Styela clava: one gene and its partners. The protein of the gene in region 1 purifies or fractionates together with the protein of each later gene. This does not show direct contact. Links are inferred from orthologs where the notes say so. Each region holds a gene or a part of one and is shown in the gene's direction. Other genes may lie near its edges.

Region 1 (7,254 bases):
TTGGAATATTAATTTTTTTTGTCCACATTTTGACCCAATTAAGAATACACATCAAGCTAGCAAAAGAATACTTGAATAAAACACTTGAGTAATTAAATTAAACGCAAAGTACACGAAGAAGGTGGCATTTTCGAAGAAAATGGGAGTTGTAACATTTCTGCTCTTCACAAAATTCTGAAGCACATTGTTTAATTTGTCATATTTCCATCAATACAATCAAAAAACACAATAAGCTCAGCAGTCAATATGACAAATTCGAAGACCAACTTCGAACAGAAAATTTCCATGTGTTTGTATATTAACCCTGCTAAAACGCTTAAAAACAGTGAAAAACCTTCAAAAAACACCAATAACCCTGCTAAAACGCTTAATATAATTATACAACGACTTAGTTACTAAAAATCAATATCAATAATAATTCAAGCAATCCTATGCCACGCAAGGTAGTGCGAAATGTCTTGTCGAAAAAATCATTTCAGACTGGCCTTAGTATGCTGGTGACACAAAAAAGATGCCAAACGCCAGGACGAATGTAATTATTAAAACATTGAGTTTATACTGTAGTATTTTTGTTAATTTTAGGTTCATATATTTAGATTAGGTTATTTTTAGTGTATGTATTATTCTTTCCTTATTCAAAGCTTGTTCAAAAATGATTTTGATGGTTGTACATAGAATTTTACGATTTTTTATAATAAATACTGTAACTTGCAAATGTTGCAATAATAGTGGAATGCAAATATTAATATGTAATTGCATTTGAAATTGAAGGAAATAATAAAACTTAATCCAACTGTTTAGTTGCATCACAATATATGAGCTATGTTCTATGAACATTTGTTCTTTTCTTTGTCTTGAACTTTCCATACTCCACAGCCCCTATTATTTTTTTTTAATTTTAATTACCATGTGATGGTCATACATATCTTTAACTTGTATTTTCTGTCATGATGTATTATCTCAATGTGCCAAACTATTAATTTGTGTGCATATTTTGCTTCCAGATGACATAAATGTATTGTCATGTTTATTACCTCAGCTTGGAGTATTGACAAGAAAAAGGTGCCAGTAAATTAGGTAAAAAAATTTTCAACTCATTGTTATAATCAGAATTCACAATCAATAGGAATTATAAACAGCCAACAATCAGTGAGAATTATATGCGAAATCCCTCAGAATAAATTTGTCTAAAATCGGAGGAAGGCAAAAAATATAGGTAGTTTCCATTCACACAAGCATTTCAAGAAGACTTGCTCGAGCCAAACTAAATGAGCATCGTCAGGTGATCGGTAAGGCTGCAAGTTGAATTCAGCCCTGCAACCTCCTGCATAGAAGATAATATTAATTAGTGGGCTATGAGCTAAATTCCTAAATTTAAACAAACCTATCTACGATGCATTATGTACCAGCAATGTTACCTACGATTAACTGAATATGTAATATGTCTAATAAATTCACATACAAAAGCAAGTTCGATAGGTGCAAACTTTGTGTTATGGAATTGTATCGCAGCACAGTTTTGTATGACACCCTCTTTAAATGAAATTTCAATGATTAAGCGCAAACATTAAAATTACTAACTTTGAACTTTGTCATTATCTGCAAAATGTTCCACACAAATCTTTCCGCTATCGCGTTTGTAATCTTCTCTGATAAAAAAAAAACGTCTATGATGTCCAGAATTGCTCTTTACAGCTTGCCTGTTATTCCAGCTTTCCAAGTAAGCAAAACTTCTTAGATATAGAGATTATTTTGTTTCGTTACAGGCGCAAAAAGGCAGGTACTACACGTAAAAAAGACGCCGAGTAGCAAAAGCGAGCGGAAAACGGACGCGAAAGGCGACGAGAAATATGTGCATTGGAGCGTATCATGAAATACAATGTTTTGCCTGTAGTCTTATGGAGTGACGTCAGAGTTGCCTATCATGTTGTTTAATGTCATTGATGTGACGTAGCAACAGATTTGATTGACACTTGCTCCATTGAGGTCTTTGTTCCAATCGCAGAATCGGGTCAGAAATAAGTTCAGGAGTAGACTTAATTTTATTTCTGTTTCATAAATCGATAAATGGAAGAATGGCGATTTTAGTGGTTTGACGAGAGTTATGAGTTTGAGTTTACGGTAAGTGTTACGGTACAAAACGAATTAGACAGTGGAGGAAGAGGATTTTCATGGAAATAGTTAACTTAACGTACGTACCGGTACCTACCGGTATTTCTGTATTTGTTTCATATGCATACCGGTATACTTGAGACGCTTTCAGACATTAACGTTAAAATGCTTTAAACAATCAGTTAGTTATTTTTGATATTCTGCCCAAAACACATAAAAATTTCGGCGCATGTTCACTAAACGCCATAATACAGTACCGTAATAAGTAAGGTCTACTTCTAGTAGGCCTACTTCATTTTTGCATATAGTATTCTTAACCCCCACCTGACTACGTCATCCATATATTACCTCAGTACGACGTCACAATTACGTCATAGAGCTTGCCAAATAAAAGCTATAATCGCCCGAAATGGCATCTCCGCTGACGATAACGAACTCGCTAACACTTCGATCGCTCTCATACAGTCATATCTGCATATAGCAGTACAGCAGTATGGGGACCGTTACGACGAGAAAACGAGAGAAATAATTTGATTGATTCCGGGTGATCGTGTGCGCGTTTTGGACGACCATCCGTATATTTTGGCGGGCTTTATTATGTCACTATGTCGTTGTAGTGACATAAATTTTGGATGTCGTAGTCAGGTGGGGGTTAGGAATAATGTATGAAAAAATTGTTTTGCCATGCCCACTAGAAGTTATTGGGGTACAAAACTACACAAGACCCTGACATCTGTACATGGCCTAAAATGAGGTTAAAACGTTGAACAGCTGCAGTGTACCGAGGTATCTTTTTGTGTTATATCATCAGAATCATTAATCACTTCAAAGCTAAAATACAGAAATACAAGACTGGGACTAATAAAACGGAGTCAGGGAGTCACAAAAAGTATTTTGTTTTATCAGTTTAATTTTTTCATTACTAAATTAGACATAAGACCCGAATTCTTATAAGATTGAGAACAACCTAATTTTAGCAAAATTTCTAACCATGAAGATCCATGGACGTGTGCTCATCATGCTAAATGATAAGGCTAAGACCCATAATAATAAGACATAAGACCCAAATAAAAAATATAGCCTAGGAAAGTTAAGCTCGACCTAATTTTAGCACAATTTCTAACCATAAAGATCTATGGACGTGTGCTCATCATCCACCCACAGACTCAGCAGCCAAGGGTGTAATAAATGAATTAGGCACTAGACAAGATAAGGATGTGTTTTCATCGCTTCATTGGCCTATTTTTAGCCCAGGCATGAACTATTTTATAGTTCTACAAAGTCACTAAACAGTAAGAGGTAATTTACATTATTACTTATCGGTTTTAATCGGTAAGTATGTTGATAGGTATTTGTCTGTATGTTAGATGCACACGATATCTCACGAAAGTGAGATTGAATCTGCTACAGATTTTGCATGTGCATTCATCATATGTCGGACCAGAAGCCTATTGATTTTGGATGAATTATGTCGTATAATTAGCGAGTTATTAATTAATTAGTGATGGGACACAAGGTGTCACTATGGAGTAAGAGCGCTGTTTTGGGGATCCCCTAACTTTCGATCGATAAATCTTCGGTCTCTGCCGATATTCTCGTTTTTGTATTACTTTGTTTGTTTGTATTCTCCAGGGCTGGGGAGCTGGTTTGAAACCACAGTCTGACAGTAGCTCCAACATCCGTTATTTCTTTACTTCTGAGCTCGACTCCGGCTCTATAGCCAATAAAGTTTTTTGGTATGACCACTACCAAACATAAACCCAAATGTAGTTTAATGGAGGCGGGACTTAAAACTATAATATGGTGGTTTCAAAATTTAAATATAAATATATTTCACTAGGAAACTTTCAAATGGGTGTAGATTTTAATAGTTATATGAAGCATTAGAAAATGATACATATGAAAAAATTAATAGATAGTTAGGGCTTGTGTTGCTAAAAACTTCCGCTCTATCTAATATGGTAAGCTTGGATCCAACTCCCAACAAAAGTTACGACCTTGGCTCCCCAGCCCTGTAACCTTAATAATCCCAGATTCTTCAGTCTCATACACTCAATATGATCGATTTCTACTAATACAGGGAACACATAAATCAATAAAATACAATCACTATTTTACTATCTATCAACCATGGATGATCTTGAATATGATAGTGAAGATGAAGTAGAGGATGAAGATTCTGATTGGGATGAGTATCAATATGATGAGGGAGTAGAAGATGACCACCGCAATAAAAACTCTGATGGATTAATTCCATTTTCCACTGATGGGAACATTAATGATGGATTTGCATATGACAGTCTTACCCCGGATGGTGTCGTGGATTTAATGAATGTCACTGTACACGAAGTGGCTGAGATTATACCTATGGATAAAACTGTACTTAGAATATTACTCGCACATTTTAAGTGGGACAAAGAAAGACTTTTTGAGAAGTATTATGGATGTGAAGGAAATGATCAGAAATTTTTTGACGATGCTCATGTCGTTAATCCGTTCTCCTCACACCATCGAAATGCTTCTAGTCAGTCCGGTTCAAATGGCGATATGACTTGTGAAATTTGCTGTTTACCTTTTTCTAATGATTTTATGACTGGTTTAGCATGTCATCATAAGTTCTGTAAAGGCTGCTGGACAGAGTATCTTCGCACAAAGATTATGGATCAAGGAATGTCACAGACTATAAGTTGTCCTTCATATGGTTGTGACATTGTTGTCAATGATGAAATTGTTATGAACTTAATCAGCAGCAAGAAAGTTAGATTGAAATATCTCCATTTGATATCTAACACATTTGTTGAATGCAATTCCTTGCTGAGGTGGTGCCCAGCTCCAAATTGTCTCAATGTTGTTCGAGTTAAATTTTCTGATGCAAGGCCAGTAAAATGTCAATGCGGTAAAGAATTTTGTTTTAAATGTGGAGAGTCATGGCACGATCCGGTACTATGTATGTACTTGAAAAGATGGATCAAAAAATGTGATGATGACAGTGAAACATACAATTGGATAGCTGCCAACACAAAAGAATGCCCAGCATGTTTTGCAACCATTGAAAAAGATGGTGGTTGTAATCATATGGTGTGTCGAAGTGTCAGCTGCAAACATGAGTTCTGTTGGGTCTGTCTGGGACCATGGGAGCCGCATGGTTCTTCTTGGTACAATTGTAATAGATTCAAGGAAGAAGATGCTAAAAAGGCTCAAGATTGTCAAGAGAAATCACGTCAGGCTCTACAACGGTACTTGTTTTATTGCAACAGATATATGAACCATCTGCAGAGTTTGCGTTTTGAACACAAGCTTTATGCGCAAGTGAAAGTCAAAATGGAAGAAATGCAAAAGCATGGAATGTCCTGGATTGAAGTGCAGTTTCTAAAGCATGCTGTTGATGTGCTCTGCCAGTGTCGTCAAATGCTAATGTACACTTATGTTTTTGCTTTTTTTCTCAACAAAAATAACCAATCCATTATATTTGAAGACAACCAAGCAGATTTGGAGAAGGCAACAGAAGTTCTCAGTGAATATCTAGAACGAGACATAACCACTGATGCTGTGCAGGACATTAAGCAAAAAGTACAAGACAAATACAGATACTGTGCTAATAGACGGAAGCTGCTCCTCTCCCATATTTATGAAGGATATGAAAGTGATCTGTGGGATTTTAATGACAAAGTATAAACTGTTTTGTTATCATATTATGCTGATGAATACTTTATATGCACATTGTTTTTGCCTTTTTCACATAACTAGAAATGTGTCATACCTAACTGGGTGACTCAAAAATATTGCTATATAAGACAGCCCATAAAATCCCCAAAGCATACAAATTCATTAATATGCACATCATGACAGTTTATTGTAATATGCGAATAAAAATCAGTTTGTATCTGCCTATATGGATGGCTATATGAGATTTTTGGCAAATTGTTAAAACGTGAACAATTATAAAATAATCTTGAAGCAAGCAAATTTTTTAAGCTACAACGTATAAAATGCTCATTCACAAACATAATATCTACCTTACTTCTTTTTATAAATGCTTCTCATACGGTCTACCTACAGTTTGGTAGCGGCCAACAATGCGATGGGCTGTGAGGATGATCGTATTTAAATAAATCATTAGTCTAGAATCTATAGTTTTCTGATACTATTTATTTCAATTTCAACGTGTTACATGTTTTAGAACTATCTAATCTGCCTCAAAAAGGTTGAATATGGTGGATATTCTGTTTGTTGTTCAGCTTTTAACTCCATTTAAAACAAGCGATGGCTGGCAAATTCTCAGTTCCTATACACAATATATTATAGACCAGGGATGGTGAACCTACTTTGTTGATTGGGTCATACATTATTTTTTTTTACAAATAAAAAGAATGTCAGCCATGCATTTACATTGTTTTAAACTATAATTATAATATTACCAGAAGGTTACGCTACTGCTTTCCAAGCTTAGTTTGTAAATTTGTAGGAATACGATAATGGATACCCTGAAAATCTTCTTTTGGCCCCGTTAATGGACCTACGATAGAATACCACTGTCTTAAACAGAACGACTTGCCACGAATAGATTCAACCCTGTGGGAGTTTCGGTTAATCGTATTGTTATGATGTCATAACAGCATTATTGCCTGCAGCATACTAATATACCGGAACTACTATAATAATTTATAATTCAGGATGAAATTAATTATTACAAAATTTTTATCATATAACTGTTAGTACCTTCTTTGCAACACTGAATTTTGACGGGTTGCTGAAAAATATTGCGGGTCAATTTGTGACCCATGGGCCAGTTGTTCGCCATCCCTACTATAGAGACTAACTTGATCTGTTTTGTGATCGTTACTTGAGCTGTTTTTTTATAACTGTAATTGAATGAAATCACCCTCTTGTTGGATATTTGTTGGTATTTATTTGAAGAAGATTGACTGTTAATCTCATTCTGTATTCTTGTTATTATTATAACTTATCGCACTATGATTTATACTGATGTTTCATTCAAGCTATTGCCATATTTGATAAAAGACTTGGTATTATCTTGGGTTAATGATATCATTAACTAATCATCAACAGTTTATTATATATCATTGCTCTGACATCTAATACACAAATAACTTGGGAAATGAAATAATATACCCTGATTTT
Region 2 (8,204 bases), on another chromosome or scaffold:
TTTCTAATGGAGACGACGAATTCGCATGAGTGCAATATATATCAAAACTAAATACGAGAATATCGGTCGGAGACCGAAGACTTATCGATCTTAGATCGGTAATTAGTTGATAACTCGCTAATTATACGACATAATTAACCCAAAATCGATAGGCGTCTGGTCCGAGGTAAGGTGCATGCACATGCAAAATTTGGAGCAGATTCAACCACGCGTTCGTGAGATATCGCGTTCATCTAACAGACACACACACACCCACACACAGACATACAAATACCTATCAATATACTTACCGATCTTAAGATCGATAAGTAATAATCGGGCAGTTGATCACACTTTAATATGTCCGCGGATTGGCGTGATATTTTAGATCGGTAATGAGTTTATTTTGACATGAGTCGCCGCAACCGCGAGTTACCCTGAACACAAATGAATTAAAATAGAGAGACATTTTGAATTCTTGTAGTTATTACGAGACAGAAAAATTTATCATACCACGAAAAAGCCGGTATTTTTACCGAACGCGGAGACCGTTACATGTAAATTTACGATTCCATCTCATGACCTCTCGCCCCCCAAGTGAGCATCTCGCACCCCCCCAGTTTAACAACCACTGGACTAGGCAAAACTTATTTACCGGTACTTTCAAATAACAGATTGCTGAATGCTATGAATCAGAATAATGGTTTGAAACAAATACCCCATTTTACAGGCACTAAATCGCGAAACCTCTCTTAAAATAAACACCAAAAATGTTGCAATGGTTTTGTATGGACCTTTCCCCGACCTTTGACCGCCGAAAAATTCTTCCTATACTTTACCATTGCAAAATTTTCAGTTTTTTTTTAAGAGTGCTTTACGAGTTGGCGCCTGTAAAATGGGGTATGTGTTTCAAACCATCATAATGATTCATCGCATACAACAATCTGTTTTTTAAAAGTACCGGTGGGGAATTTTTAGCCTAGTCTATCACAGCTATTTCTACACTAACTTTTTATTACTGCAATTAAATTAAAACTCCTAGGAAGACAGAGTGATCATTAAATTATCTGATTTATATTTAAGTTCCCGAAACACAACTAAAAACTTACGAATAGAGTTCAAAAACGCGAAAACGAGGTAATGTTTAAGACCACGATTGAAAATCTGTCTCAGTGAGAAAAGTGTCTGAGCGGATGCGAAAAGGTAGTATTGTTACGTCACTTTTTGCATCTTGCTGATTGGCCGATGCCACGAAAAAAACAAGGAAGTCGATGTTCGGGGAAAGGTCCATAGGAAGAATTTCCAGCGGTTCAAAGTTCGGGAAAAGGTCCATTGAGTTAGCTATTTCCGTGTCCAGGTGCTGTGGCTCGGTATTCAAATTGTTTCATCAGATTTTCTATTATTCAGATAAATACCAAAAAAACTCCAGGCTATAGTTAATGGTTCTAGGCCCGGTCAGTGAAGGTCCTCTGATACAGTCCTATGCCACGTTAACTATGAGTATTTTAGTACAGATATAAGTTCTAGAAGGGCTATCAATGGCCGCTACTTTATTTTTGCAATATATTTGCACCCACTTACATTTGTACCGGAGGAATTTACACTCACAGACATTTATACCCGTCACATTTGCACCCACGTACTTTTACACCTAAGGACATTTGCACTATGGGGATAATCTTGTTATTTTAGTAACCTTTTACTGTTATTTTTCAAATCAATAATATGAATCGTCGTAAAACTAGTCAATTTAGTTTTCTTAAAAATATAAACCACCACAACGTGTTTTGTACTGGTCATAATTGATTTGAATAGCCCCAAGACATTTCTTAATGACAAACCAGTTTTAATATAATTTACCTATGTTCCATACTTGATTAGTACATTTTCATCTATTGGTAATCAGCATATACGTTACTCAATATTACTGATTTTTTATCCTTTCGGACCCGACTGGATCATTCATTTGTTTTGCGACCGTATCGTTGTACGATTAAATGCTAATAATAAAGACATTGCCTCGTTAAAGTGTGTCAAACAAAGACTTGGGGAGACTGAACAGTCGAGGCGCTACAGTTGATATTCGTCGACGTCTGGTGACAGAGGAAACATCCAACCAACAACAAATTAGCCTGAAATATATTATTGAGGCTATAGCACCTACAAATATTTCCACCCATAGATTTTTGATACCACAGACATTTTCACCCATGGATAATTGCACCCGCGAACATTTACAACCCTATGCATTCCCATTTGTGCCGTGGGATAAACATACTAATGAGTATAAAGTAGTAATAAACACATAAACGTTTAAGTGGGCATGTCAGTTACAGATATATAATACATGCCATGCATCCAAGAAAATTCACATCTATACTTTTGATTCCGCGTGCATTAGACAATAATAGACAATTGCACCCATCACATTCAGATCGACAGATTTTAGCATTCACATACAAATTGGATACGCAACCAAAAGCATTTGTACTTACGGGCATTTCCACGTGACGCGAAACAGCTCGCAACGGTACACACCATTATGAAGTAACAGTGGACATTTCCTCGACCATCGACTTCCTTACTTACTTCGTGACATTGGCCAATCAGCACGATGCGAAAAGTGACGTAACAATACTCCCTTTTCGCATCCGCTCAGACACTTTTCTCACTCAGACAGATTTTCAAGCGTGGTCGTAAACATTACCTCGTTTTCGCGTTTTTGAACTCCATTCGTTAGTTTTCTGTTGTGTTTCGGAAACTTAACTATAAATCAAATAATTCAAACAGCATTCAGTCTTCCTAGAAGTTTTAATTTAATTGCAGTAATACAAAATTAGTGTAGACATAGCTGTGATAGACTAGGCTAAAATTCTTTACCGGTACTTTTGAAAAACAGATTCTTGTATGCGATAAATCATAATGATGGTTTGAAACACATACCCCATTTTATAGGCGCCAACTCGCAAATGCACTTTTAAAATAGCTCCAAAAATTTTGCACTTGTAAAGTTTAGGAAGAATTTTTCGGGGATCAAAGGTCTGGGAAAGGTCCATAGCAATGTAACAACTTGATTACCACAAATTGTACTTTCGCCAAGTCGAGGTCGTTTTCTCTTTCCTGAGTGATCGGTCTATATTTCTGAGTGAGTGAGCTTGGACTAATCTTAAGCTGGTTTTCTTATAATAAAAATGCTTCTGTCCGTAAATAAATGCTACCGTATTTAAATGCTGAGAATTTCTGAGTGAGTGAGCTTGGACTAATCTTAAGCTGGTTTTCTTATAATAAAAATACTTCTGTCCGTAAATAAATGCTACCGTATGTAAATGCTTCTGTGCACATCTGACTTCAGTGTGAAGTCTGAGGAATAAATAACTTGATCCATCAACGTTTTTGAGACGTCATTTCATTTTTTGGACTCCACAGTTGCATTTCTTGCTATGTCAATTTTCTTTTTTCACCAGCGCAACTTATACGACAAATAGAATCTTTGTGCCCATTAAACAAGAATTAAATTAAACAAGTCCCCTGTCGTGGAAAAACAAAGTTTAGGTATTCCGGCGTATTGTGTTTTTTTGATTACGTTACTTACACCGTAAATATATGCTTACACTCTTGTTGACATGGTTTCACCTGTAGCCCGTTCATGAGGCACGGGCAAACGACGGTGTATAGAGGGCGTAGTGGCGCAAGGGACCAATAGGATTCTTGCAGAGTAAGGTTTGGGTTTCACCAATGACGAGAAGGGGCTTTCTAATACACCTTTGAAGTGATGTGGGGACATGTATGTAGCCTATTGTTAAATCTGTGGTTCTTTTTCCGTGGTTTTACTAAATATCTTTTTTCACTGTTGACTCTTATTTATAAAATCGTCATCCAATTTGACAGCCGGTGTGAAAATTATTACCAGGGTGTCCGTAATTTTATTTAAACATTTGCTATTTCTGTATTTATTTACTACCGGTACCGGTATTTAGGCTAGTCCAGTAGTCTGCGGATGTAGATCTAGATCTAATTCATCTGAACTGTCTCCATTTTTCTCACATTAATATATCTGTGTGTGTTTTATGTTACAGTGTTCGGCGCGGCGGTGTGGCTCAACGGGCTAAGCGTTAGGAATACCGGTACGCTCGCCACCGCACCTCTAATTACTCTGCGTGGGTTCGCAGGTTCGAATCCCATGCAGGGATGGTTATGTGCGAGAGGATTGCTGGACTCCTCGCCGTCGTTGGGTGGTTCACGTAACCGCTGGTCGGTTACGGTACGGCTTCCTCCACCACCAAGTCCATGCTTCCGAAAACAAACAATATAACTAATCCCATACCCGACTTGGAATGGTAACCGGACGAGAGGCCGTGGTTCGCCATCTGGATAAGCCGTCTTATCGGCTTTCCTCTCCCCCGGGATAAATACTGAAATATGTAAATCCTATCCTAAGTAAACATGCAGACTAGCATACCACTTTATTTCTGTATTTTGGCAAAACCTTCGAACTTAAATTCTGTACTGATACCGTACCGTACCACTGGTCTCCTGATTCAGTGATTCTATAATCAGTTTTTATTTATTTGTTTTTATCTGTATTGTCTTGTCTGTTGTGCTGATCATAATAAATAAATAATACCTCTTTTCTCTGGGTATCACACATAGTACAACTTCAAAATCTACAATACAAATATACAACAAGGTTGAAATATCTGAATATAGGCTAGCATTAGTTATACGGTACTGTTATAACATTCAAATTATAAGTACACTGCCAAGGTATGTCAGTACTGCAGTACCGTACAGCAGTGCCGTATGTCAGTATGTTGCTGATAGCTGGGCAACTGTCCACACCTTGCACCTGTATGTAATTTTATTTACCGGTAATATACATCTGTATAAACTATTCTCCCAGAACTCCTTACTGCCTTAAGTAGTGTTTACGGCATCTACAAAATCTACACTGCTATACCCTCTGCTTGAATGCTGAACTATGTCTTTGAAGCCAAGATCTGTTGATTTCAATTCAACATGGCTGAAATTGTCAGCAACAATGAACAATGTCGTTACTTCGAATCCTGTTCAACGATCAACATGGAATGAAATGTTTATGTATCCTTTATCAAATATTTAAATGTATTGTATTTATCTAATATTCAGATAATAAATAATCCTGTATTCCTGTTATTAATCAAGAGCTGGGGATCTATTTCCAACTTATATATTATTTCTAAATTTCATTTTCTAATATTAATTCAAAAGTTTTAAGTTGGATTTATGTATTTTAAAGTTTAATTTTGTAATTTGAAACCTTGACGCCCCAGTTTTAGTCCCATTTTTTGCGAAAATTTGTGTTGTTACATTGTAATGGTCAGACATACAAAACCTCAATCGCTATGTAGCTGGAGCCGGAGCCAGCATAGAAAAATGAAGCTCTGGAGCCGAAGCTACAGTGACTCCCCGGCCCTGCTATTTATAACTAATTGAATCAAAAATAAGTTTCTTCATTTGTTTTAAATTGTAACATACCGGTAATAATATATATTTTAACTCTATCTTATTATGGGATTTTATTGTCCGTCATCCGATTTGATTCTGCTTGCCTGTATTACTTTTTAAAATAATAATAGTGCAATCGCTTGGGCCCTTTTCAGGGTTGTTCCGAGTCATAGAGTTTTAATGTGGTAAGCTACATCTTTAAATTAAGTTATCTTCCTTAATTATTTTGCATTTACTGTATAAGGGATGTCTATGCATTGTGCATCGCTCGTCCTGAGCCATTGACAAATGAACTTTATTCTGGAATTAAAGAATTTTTGGAGCATCATGTTTCACAACTATATGAGGTATGAAATATGGTAATGCTTAGAAAGATATTATAAACTAATTAAAATTTTACCAACCCAGAGTCTGGGTCATGGATAAAAAGAAATGTTTGTTTTTTATCAGTGTACGTCTTATATATATCACATGTATTCTAAATACCTATTTTTGCTATTCAGAAAATGAACGCATCTGAAAATCTCTTGGGACAATATTACAAGTGAGAAATTTATTAGTATGTGTAGTAGTATTAGTAGTGTGTGTACCAGGTTAGGGTTAGGCCATAGTTTATTTCCGATTTATCTTTTTTCAGTTCTATTAAGAGTTCGGGGACTGTCTGTGTTAGCCAAGTGAATATACTTTCCCCATAGGTTTCAGTCCCATCACACAACTTGATTTAAAGTAGGCGAACAAAATTAGTTACCTCCATATTGGTATACACACTTCTGGAGCGCCAAGATTTTATCTTAAAGTTAATTCGTTAATTTGTACATTTTTCTGTTATAGATATTGGGTGGAATATAGCAGAGGAGCTCAATATCTTGATCAGTTATTCAGATATTTAAATCAACAACATGTTAAAAAATATAAACAAACTGCGGCTGATCTCGATTATGAATTTTCATTCGATGTGAAAGATCCAATGCTGGAGGTTGGAGAGGTGAACATACATTTTCAATTACAAATCACAGTTTTTTCTGTATATTCGGTAGTACGTAAAAACAGTCATTTTCAAAATATATCTGGTGTATTGATTGTATAAAAATAGTCTTAGTTGTGTTGTTCTGAATACATTCAAATTTCAAATACCATGTTTCACAGTATTTGATGCGGAAATGTACATAAATATGTGCATTGTTAAATATGGTATGTTTGTTTGTTAGACATAGAAATAATTGATTTTATACTAACTTTAAATGATACCTGTAGAAATAAATTAGTGGAGTACTTTTTAGAAGAAGATATGATGTATATAATTTCATGTTTTACCACTTCGATACTAACATGTTTTTATACAAGATGTCACTTTTTTTAAGTTTGCGACTGTCGCCAAGTCCAGTCCAAAGCACCAAATTACTAAAATGCTTCTATTTGCTTACCTTAGCTTGCTTTGGATATATGGCACACGGTTATGATAGAAAAAGTATCAGACAAACTCGTTGAACTTCTTTTAAATCTTATTGATGAAGATCGGGCGAAACACACTGTGGACAAAGCCGTAATAAATGGAGTTATTCAGTCGTTTGTCTTGGTCAAACATTATCGGAGGAAGCAACCTTTGAAGGTAAGAAATAATATTGCAAAACTTTAGTGGAAGAGGCCCAATCGATGAGTCATGCGTCAAACAATTAATAAGTCATTCTAATTTGAATATTTGATGTTCAGAGTTTCATAAAGAGAAGTAAATAAATATGATGCATTGCCATTGACAACAGAATTTGTTATTTTGTCTTTGAAGCAAAAGAACCTAAATTATATAATAAACGAAAGTGTGACTACCATTGAACTCAACTTTCAAGTATAGGATGTTTTCTATAATTATGCATTACAGCCGGTTTTATCATCAAATATTTATCGAGGTAGTTTATTTTCATGCTGCAACTGGAAAATAATTATCAGCTTACGATGTCAGATGGGACTTCGCCAGTTAATTGAAACAAAAAAAGTTTGCATGAATCAATAGCAAACTTTTTTAGCAACCACGAAGATGACCATTTTATTTTATTTTTCTTCAGCTTTATGAAGAATGTTTTGAAGAGAAGTATTTGGCAAGATCTGTCGAATATTATAAAATGAAAGCAAGTGAATTCATTGAAAGCGAGGATTGTTCACTGTATATGGAAAAAGTGAGTGAATTTTTGTGGCATATCTAAATATTTATTTTTTATATGCAGAATGGGATCGAATATATATGCTGCCTCTTCACTTGTAGATTGATTGTTATTTCATTTTAAGTATCAAGATGGTATACTTGATTTCCAATAAATGATTTTTATTTCATACCTTTACTCTCTGCAAGGCGCTACAAACAGTCACTGGTATGTAAGCATCTAATGTTTATTGAGGACATAAATCTTTCCATTTAGCCAATATCTACCCAAAATATTACATCCTGGTTACAAGGTGGTTAGCATATGATTGAATTTGGGACCTTTAAGGCTTTTAACCTCTCATACCAACGTCATCTAATCCTCTTATCATTATTCATTCCAGTGTGACCATGAATGATTTAGGTTAAATTCAACCAATTTCGAATTCAGAGGTCTATTGAACGAGGTACTACGTACTGTAGATTTTTCAACTTGTGAATGATGTAATCATCTGGTTTAAATTAAATCAAGTCAAGTCATTTTCAAGTTTATAAACTTAAACTGAGATTTTGAGAAAAAAAATTACTCAATTCAGAGTCTGATTAT
Region 3 (7,422 bases), on another chromosome or scaffold:
CCAATCTTTGCTGCGCTCCGTTCCATCATCCACAACCAGTTTCATAAAAAGATCGAAACCTCGCAATAGACCCGTTACAGATCGTCCTCCATTTAACTTTGAATCCAATCTTTTATTCATATACTCCATTAATTCCGATGGATGGGCTTTGCTCTTGTTGATATGACGCGATACAAATACCGAAACATACAGCGCGTAGAATTCTCTAGTCTTTTCAGCAGACACGTCCGCACCCGACGACCGTCGGAACGGAGTAAGTAATCAGTATTAACGGTATATTCGCAAATTCATTTACCAGATTTTAACTGATCATGCGGAATTATGTATGTATGTATGTTTATTCGTCTCGTAATATTGATAACAAATAAATGAACGATTATTATTATTTAAGACGGGATGCATGCACAAGACCGTACCGGCCTAAAACACAAATGTGCGGCATGCACCCTTTTTGACAAATATAAAACAAAAAACATATTAAATATGTATAATATGGTCCCTTATATAGACAGTTGTGCAATGTGGGGCAAAGGATCATTTGGTGTGGTGAAAGTGGTACGGGTGGTGTATACAAAACTCTTTATACAGGGGAGCTTATAAGACAGGGATGGCGAACCACTGACCCGCGGGTCACAAAGTGACCCACGTCGTTTTATTCGTGACCCACCAAGGCACGAATGAAATAAAAAAATGCTAACATATCAGTGCTAAAAAATTGATAAAACCGGCCTTAAATTATTAACTATATAAAACTATAAACTAAACTATAATGTACCGTCAGTTGGGCAGTCAAGGCTGCGATCGCTCATATTCGAATTTATATTTTCGGGCCGGTATGATAATTTTCAAAACCCCTAATCTTTGACGCATGTCTGCACCGCTGTGTACCGTTATTCAGCTATTGGCTCTGACATCGTTTATGATATAACAATGCAAGCGATCTGTTCATTTTTCGCAACGCCTTGTCTCTTTCGGAAGTGCACCTGCATGCTTTTTTAGGGGTTATACGAGAACTAGATGCTACTTTGCATTTCACTAGTTTCTCATCTACAATGCCGCTGAGAAAACAAAATCTTCCAGACTTGAAATAAAAACCTAGAATCCGAAATACCAATGGGGCAGTGTAAAAGTGCTTTAATGTGGTTGGAAGCAGATCGAAAAATATAACACTATCAGAGTGGAATTCCCTCTAAGAGTCTAAACTATTTGGTACCGTAAATAAATTTTCCCCATCATCCTAAACCTTTTTTGGTAATTAATATGCGGGTTTTCGTACTCTAATTTCATGAAATCGAGTGCCATAAAAAGTCCATAATAGAAATGCTGCATTATCCTAAAACCACACCAACACCAACAGAAGCTTACAATATTTGATTCAGAAGTTTCTTATAGATACAAACATTGATTAAATATCTGTGACCCACTCTCTTCTGTTCCGCGATAAAAATATAATTTTTGACCTATTCATCGGAAAAGGTTCGCCATCCCTGTTATAAGACAAGACAATATATATAAATGGAGACAACACAGCACCAAATAAACATATACATAACAATGAAATCAAAATTTAGGCGTAAATACAGCGCCTTTTGAGTGGTGAGACCATATAGACATAGTATGAATGGGCGAAGTATAAGAGATAAATTTGCGGTTCTTATGCTTATATTGTATGCGTCACTCAAGGGTGCTAGTAGAGTATTTGATAGAATATATCTATTTCAGCAAAAATGTGAACCATACAGATTTTGTTGAAATACTTCAGTTCGAGTGTCAAATTCTTAGGTATCCTTGTTTTATTTATAAAATTGAAGCCGAATGTGGTAAAAATTAAAGGAAAAATAAACTTAAAGAAAAGCATTTCAACAAAGCCTGTCATGATTGCATTTTTTCCAGAAGAAAATAAATGTATAAAAGTACTATTGAATTAAGGCTAACATTTTATAAAAAAGAAGCATTGTTTCCATGTCATGGATTGCCCTAATTGTATTAGGATCACAATAGAGTAATGTAGTTTCATGGGGGAAGGAAGAGAGGAATATATTTGATTTTGTGCCATGACCTATATGAGAAAGAAAGGGCCCAGCATGCTACTTTGACAAAGAGAACTGTTTCTATTGATGGCTGGATTCAAATTTGATGTAATTGTAATTTATTATCTTTAATCTAATTTGCTGTTTTTATTGTCTTTGTCTAATTAAGCATGATAATAAGATTAGAAGGGTGAGTTAAAATATTAATTCAGTTCATTGTTTCGTATTGCATTCTGCTGAGGTAGCCTGCGGAGTTTGAAATCGCCATCTACTGGGTGGTGATCTGATATCCTTCGGAGTTTCCTGTTGGTACTTCCAATCCAAATAGTCTCTAGTAGCCCATCTTAGTAACCGAATTCCCTAGAAAAAAATAAACTCCGAAACAGTAATATGTTCAAAACAAAGATTTTGGTTAATATGATGATAACAAATGTTGCATAAGTTTGGAACGAAATTCTGAATTTGATTATTATATCTACTTAAACTCTAACCCTAACCCAAATCAATCAAAACTGTAGGTGACCGTACATTTGAACCCACGTACATTTGAACCCATGTGTATATCCCCGAGTTCAATCTATATACAGGTGCTACCCATGGGTTAGGGTTAGTATGGATTCAAATATCCACAAAACAAAAAAAATAGTAAAATAGTAAAATAGGTGCAATAGTATGCAGGTGCAATTGTCGTGGGTTCAAATGTACGTGGGTTCAAATGTAGGCCTACGGGAGCCAAAACTGTATCCATAAGTAAAACGTTCCAACTTGCCCAATATTTGTCACCATGAGGAGTTGTTCGCCATATGATTATTAATCCGTCTTTTTTATCGGTTTTTCCATCCCCCGTGATAAATATGTAAAATCCTATCCTTCACGATCCTGTAACATAGCACTTTACGACAGTGAAAGTGAAGTTTTACAACAGACTTGCGGTGTGTTGTTTGGTGCAAAGTCACTTTGGTCTGGTGTTGCTACACTTGTCACGTGACGCGACGTCCAGTAGGCTGTACTTGCCGAAAAAGCGTTTGTTCTTCGTTGTTATGAACCGTCGAAACTGCGGGCGCGTTTGTCGTTTTTCTCGGCGGCCGTTATGTATCTGCATAATGATTACCGGTAGATTGTTTGTACGTACTCGTATTAATGTGTGTTTGTTTTGGTTGGAATATTCTAAATATAAGTCTGTAAGTATACCGGTACGATGTTGACAGAGCATCCGCGGTCGGGTCGTCTTACGAAACCGGTACCGGTACGGTACCGTACGCAAGAACGACCTAATCTAACATTGACACTTGACAGCCTGGAAATCGCTTTCTGTTGGTTTGCTGGTGCGAAGTAAACGCGATAACTGCTTGAATGATACCAAATAAGAATGTGATGTAGAAACAGTACCGGTACTGGTACCGGTACCGTACCGATAGTTGAAATCTGTATTTGATTACTCCGCGAGGGTTCACGGGTTCGAATCCCATGCCAGGATGATTACCGTATATGCGAGAAGATTGCTGGTATCCTCGCCGCTGTAGGGTGGTTCACGTAACCGCTGGTCGGTTACGGCGACCTCCACTATTAAGTCCATGCTTCCGAAAACAAATACGGTACCGTAACTGGCTAACTAATCCCATACCGGTATCCAGATATCCGACATAGTCTGAAAGAGGTCAACAGATATCTGGATATTAAGTCTATGCATCTGAAAACAAATAACTGGCTACCGTATCTAATCCCCATGGACTGGTACGGTATCCGGACGAGAGGTTGTGGTTCACCATGGGGTTAAGCCGTCTTATCGGCTTTCTGCTTCCCCGGGATAAAGATGTGAATCCTATCCTAAATTTAACTCTGCAACTATGGACAGAACTGAGCAGCATAATAATCAGACAACTTAACAGTCGTTATCTGGTAGACATTTCTGCATTTATATTGATTCGAGGACAGCTAATAAATCGTACTGGAAACATTAGGTACCTGTTTCAATATAGTCTAGTACATGTTATGAACTTTTCATTTTGTAATTTCAGGCAAATATATTTAAATAAGCGAGTGATATAAATAAGTGATATCAGCAAAAATGCCTTCCATCAAATTACAAAGTGCAGATGGAGATGTTTTTGATGTAGACATTGATATTGCCAAACAATCTATGACCATCAAGACTATGTTGGAAGATCTAGGAATGGAACCTGGTGATGACGAAGAATCAATTCCATTACCAAACACAAATGCCGCAATCTTGAGAAAGGTGGTATATCATAATTATAACTGGGTTTTTTAATTAATTTGTAATATTTTTTCATATGAATTTTTCTGTTTTTGGTGCTCCGGAAGTATACGTACGAAGATGGCGGACACCGGAATATAGTATGTGTACCAGGTTAGAGTTAGGCAATAATTTCAGGTACAAATACTACGGGAGTCACTCGGCTAGTCCTCGAACTCGTAATAGCACTAAAATAAGAAAAATTGGAATAAAATTATGGCCTTACCCTAACCTGGTACACATAATACATTCCGGCCACCGCCATCTTGGTACGCATACTTCAGGAGTACCGAATTTTTTCTGTGAAGGTTTCAGCACTCCTTTAGCTTCCAACTTATATTTGAGCAAGTTAAATTCAATTTGTTACTGTCATATGGGCTTAGCGATATAATTGGTGGTGTATCATCGATAATTGATATTACTGTATTATTGTAGATTGATATAGGATAGGATTTACGTATTAATTACGAGGGAAGAAAAGCCGATGACTCGATCGGATAGCAAACCACAGCCTTCCTACCGGTTACCAGTTCATATCGGGTATGGGATTGGTTAGATGAACTTGATGGCGGATAAAGCCATACTGACCAGTGGTTATGTGAACCATCCTGCGGCAGCGAGGAGTCCAGCAATCCTCTCGCACATAACTATCGAGTGGAAGTGGTGACTCCTCTACAACCCATGGGCCAGGGCCACGGCCCATCAGGCTATGGGCCGCGGCCCATCAAGTTGTGTAAAGGGATAAAATAATAAAGACTAATAAATATGTAAATTCTACCTAAATCCTACCCACTCCCTGAACTCATAATAGAACTATAATGTCTGAATATGAAAAATCTGAACATAATTTTGTCCTAACCCTAACCTGGTACACACACTTCAGGTGTATCCTTTTCTGTAGCTTGGTATTTTGCTTTATTTTTATGAAAAGGCTTATCGCAGGAAAAAGGTTTGGTGGCATGCCGCGATTTTTGTTTGGTTCCAATATTGACAATTTTGTAAAAATTGAAAGTTTTCTGATGGGCCGCGGCCCATAGCTTGATGGGCCATGGCCCATGTGGCCCAATTAGATGGGCTGTGGCCCCGGCCTATGGGCCGTAGAGGAGTCACCACCCCTGTAGTAACTATCCCCGACAGATTCGAACCTAGGCAGGGTAATCGGATGTGCTGTGGCAAGTGGGAATTGCTAATTCTTAGCATGATAAAGCGACGCACCGCATAAATAGGCTTACATTCTCACATTTTGGCTTAGTAACTATCCAGGCCTAGTCATTATCTATGCATGTTTTATGATGAAAACATTTTTTAACTCTTGATTATACTAGATGGTACTGGAGTAATGTGGGCGTAACTGGTTGATTATATACTATTTGAGTTGTGTATCATGAGTAGGAAATGGGTTTTTGAATAATTATAATCACCAATTAGTTTTATAGATCTCAATCTGAGTTACTCTTAGTGGCTAATCTATTCTCTTGTTAATTAAAATTGGTATTTATCTCAGATTAAAGTTAGTTAGTTAAATCAGTTAGTTAATAAAAATGCATCTCTAGTGTACAAAACAAAGCAATGTGAAATACATTTTCCATCTCTTTTATATAGTTTTCTTCTGTTCTGCACTGTTTCTTCCTGTTAAGTGTTATCATCGATTCATTGTGTTGTCAATTCAGTCTTATTCAACAAAAAATTTATTTTGATGTTGCAATCCAGGTATTACAGTGGTGCACACAGCACAAAGATGATCCCCCTCCACCAGAAGATGATGAAAATAAGGAAAAAAGAACTGATGATATCCCGGTTTGGGATCAAGAGTTTTTGAAAGTTGATCAGGGAACGCTTTTCGAACTCATTGTGGTGCGTATTAATTGTCATTTGTTAGTATAAGTTATTTCGACTCCATAATCAGCATAACAATAAAATTATTGATAAAAACAAATAGATAAAAACTGAATATGAAATCAGGAAAGCAAACAAGACCTTAGATAAGGCTTAAAACTTACAGAATGTAAGATGAAAGGTTTTGCCAAGAAGAAGTGGTACGTGTTCACTCACCTAAAATTATTATAATTATTTCACACAGGCACTCACCACACACACACACAAGCACAGAGACATTATTTAAGTAAAAAAGAAAACACGATTAGCTTAGGGTAAACTACACATGGTGATGGTTGAATGTTTCGTCATCAAATATCTGTGTATTATATAAACTTTGGGAGTACCAACTTTGGATTGCATTGCATTAGTCAATCTTTCAAATCTATCAATCAATTTCATTTTGGTTGCTCTGGCATAAAACAAAACAACAACAAACCGACAAACAAAATGCAGAGACACCTGGAAGACAAGCATAACCTAGGTTCAATTGGTTTAAATATTACAAGTATCAACCTTGTTCTTGGTTATTCTATATGACCTTACTCGTCTATAAATAAAATACAGACAGGACGACAGGAGAAAACATTACTAAAATACCTGATGCTTTGTTATGAAACATTTAGTAACATTTAGCATATAAATTCACTAACATTAGTCATTACTAAAGATTTGCTTGAGACAATTTATATTTGTTTAAAGCAGTGGTTCCCAACCGCCGGTCCGCGGACCGGTGCCGGTCCACGAAGCTTTTTTGCCGGTCCGCGAGAAATTTTGTTGTTTTTATGCCGTCTCAATCGCTTTACCGTATACAAAGTTTTTTTTTTGTACTTTGTAGCCTACCGTATACAAAGCTGCGTTGGCTCATTACGCAATTCTCTTCCGCCGTCATATTGCGACATCTTGAAGCCGTCTTACGCGACATCTTGGCGCCGAGCATTCACACTTTTCGCCTCCGATTCATCGCGAATGCGCTCCATCAAATCTCGCAAAATTAAGAAGCCTCAAAATCGGCATGCGTGCTTTTTCTGTTCTGCGTGCTTTTCCTACTTAATATGACCATCCATATAAAACGTAATGCATATCTTCTTTTTCAAACCTGAAAACAGTCAAAAACAGTATAATATTCCAGTAAGATAGGAACTTGTTGCGACCCCACAGGTGGTCACGAGACGCGCAAAAGAACATGGGCCGCAGAGATCTTTTCCAGACACAGTAGGATTTTGAGCCTGTTGCCAAGTTAACGACGACTTTGTCATT

Evidence for each region.
Region 2: the proteins of E3 ubiquitin-protein ligase arih1-like (region 1) and cullin-2-like purify together in Homo sapiens (affinity purification with western blotting; 3 studies listed by BioGRID and IntAct, with this or other methods). This does not show direct contact. The link is inferred for Styela clava from reciprocal best matches to the Homo sapiens genes ARIH1 and CUL2.
Region 3: the proteins of E3 ubiquitin-protein ligase arih1-like (region 1) and S-phase kinase-associated protein 1 purify together in Homo sapiens (affinity purification with mass spectrometry; 4 studies listed by BioGRID and IntAct, with this or other methods). This does not show direct contact. The link is inferred for Styela clava from reciprocal best matches to the Homo sapiens genes ARIH1 and SKP1.

The regions. Positions count from the first base shown.
Region 1 is NC_135257.1:11,826,342-11,833,595, forward strand, and holds E3 ubiquitin-protein ligase arih1-like, read left to right. Parts: upstream 1-4,158; 5' UTR 4,159-4,242; coding exon 4,243-5,787; 3' UTR 5,788-6,441; downstream 6,442-7,254. UniProt on the Homo sapiens protein: E3 ubiquitin-protein ligase, which catalyzes ubiquitination of target proteins together with ubiquitin-conjugating enzyme E2 UBE2L3.
Region 2 is NC_135263.1:12,286,275-12,294,478, forward strand, and holds the start of cullin-2-like, read left to right. Parts: upstream 1-4,810; 5' UTR 4,811-4,957; coding exon 4,958-5,076; intron 5,077-5,707; coding exon 5,708-5,810; intron 5,811-5,966; coding exon 5,967-6,007; intron 6,008-6,294; coding exon 6,295-6,448; intron 6,449-6,892; coding exon 6,893-7,072; intron 7,073-7,523; coding exon 7,524-7,634; intron 7,635-8,204.
Region 3 is NC_135260.1:7,445,908-7,453,329, reverse strand, and holds the start of S-phase kinase-associated protein 1, read left to right. Parts: upstream 1-4,046; 5' UTR 4,047-4,098; coding exon 4,099-4,269; intron 4,270-5,997; coding exon 5,998-6,141; intron 6,142-7,422. UniProt on the Homo sapiens protein: Essential component of the SCF (SKP1-CUL1-F-box protein) ubiquitin ligase complex, which mediates the ubiquitination of proteins involved in cell cycle progression, signal transduction and transcription.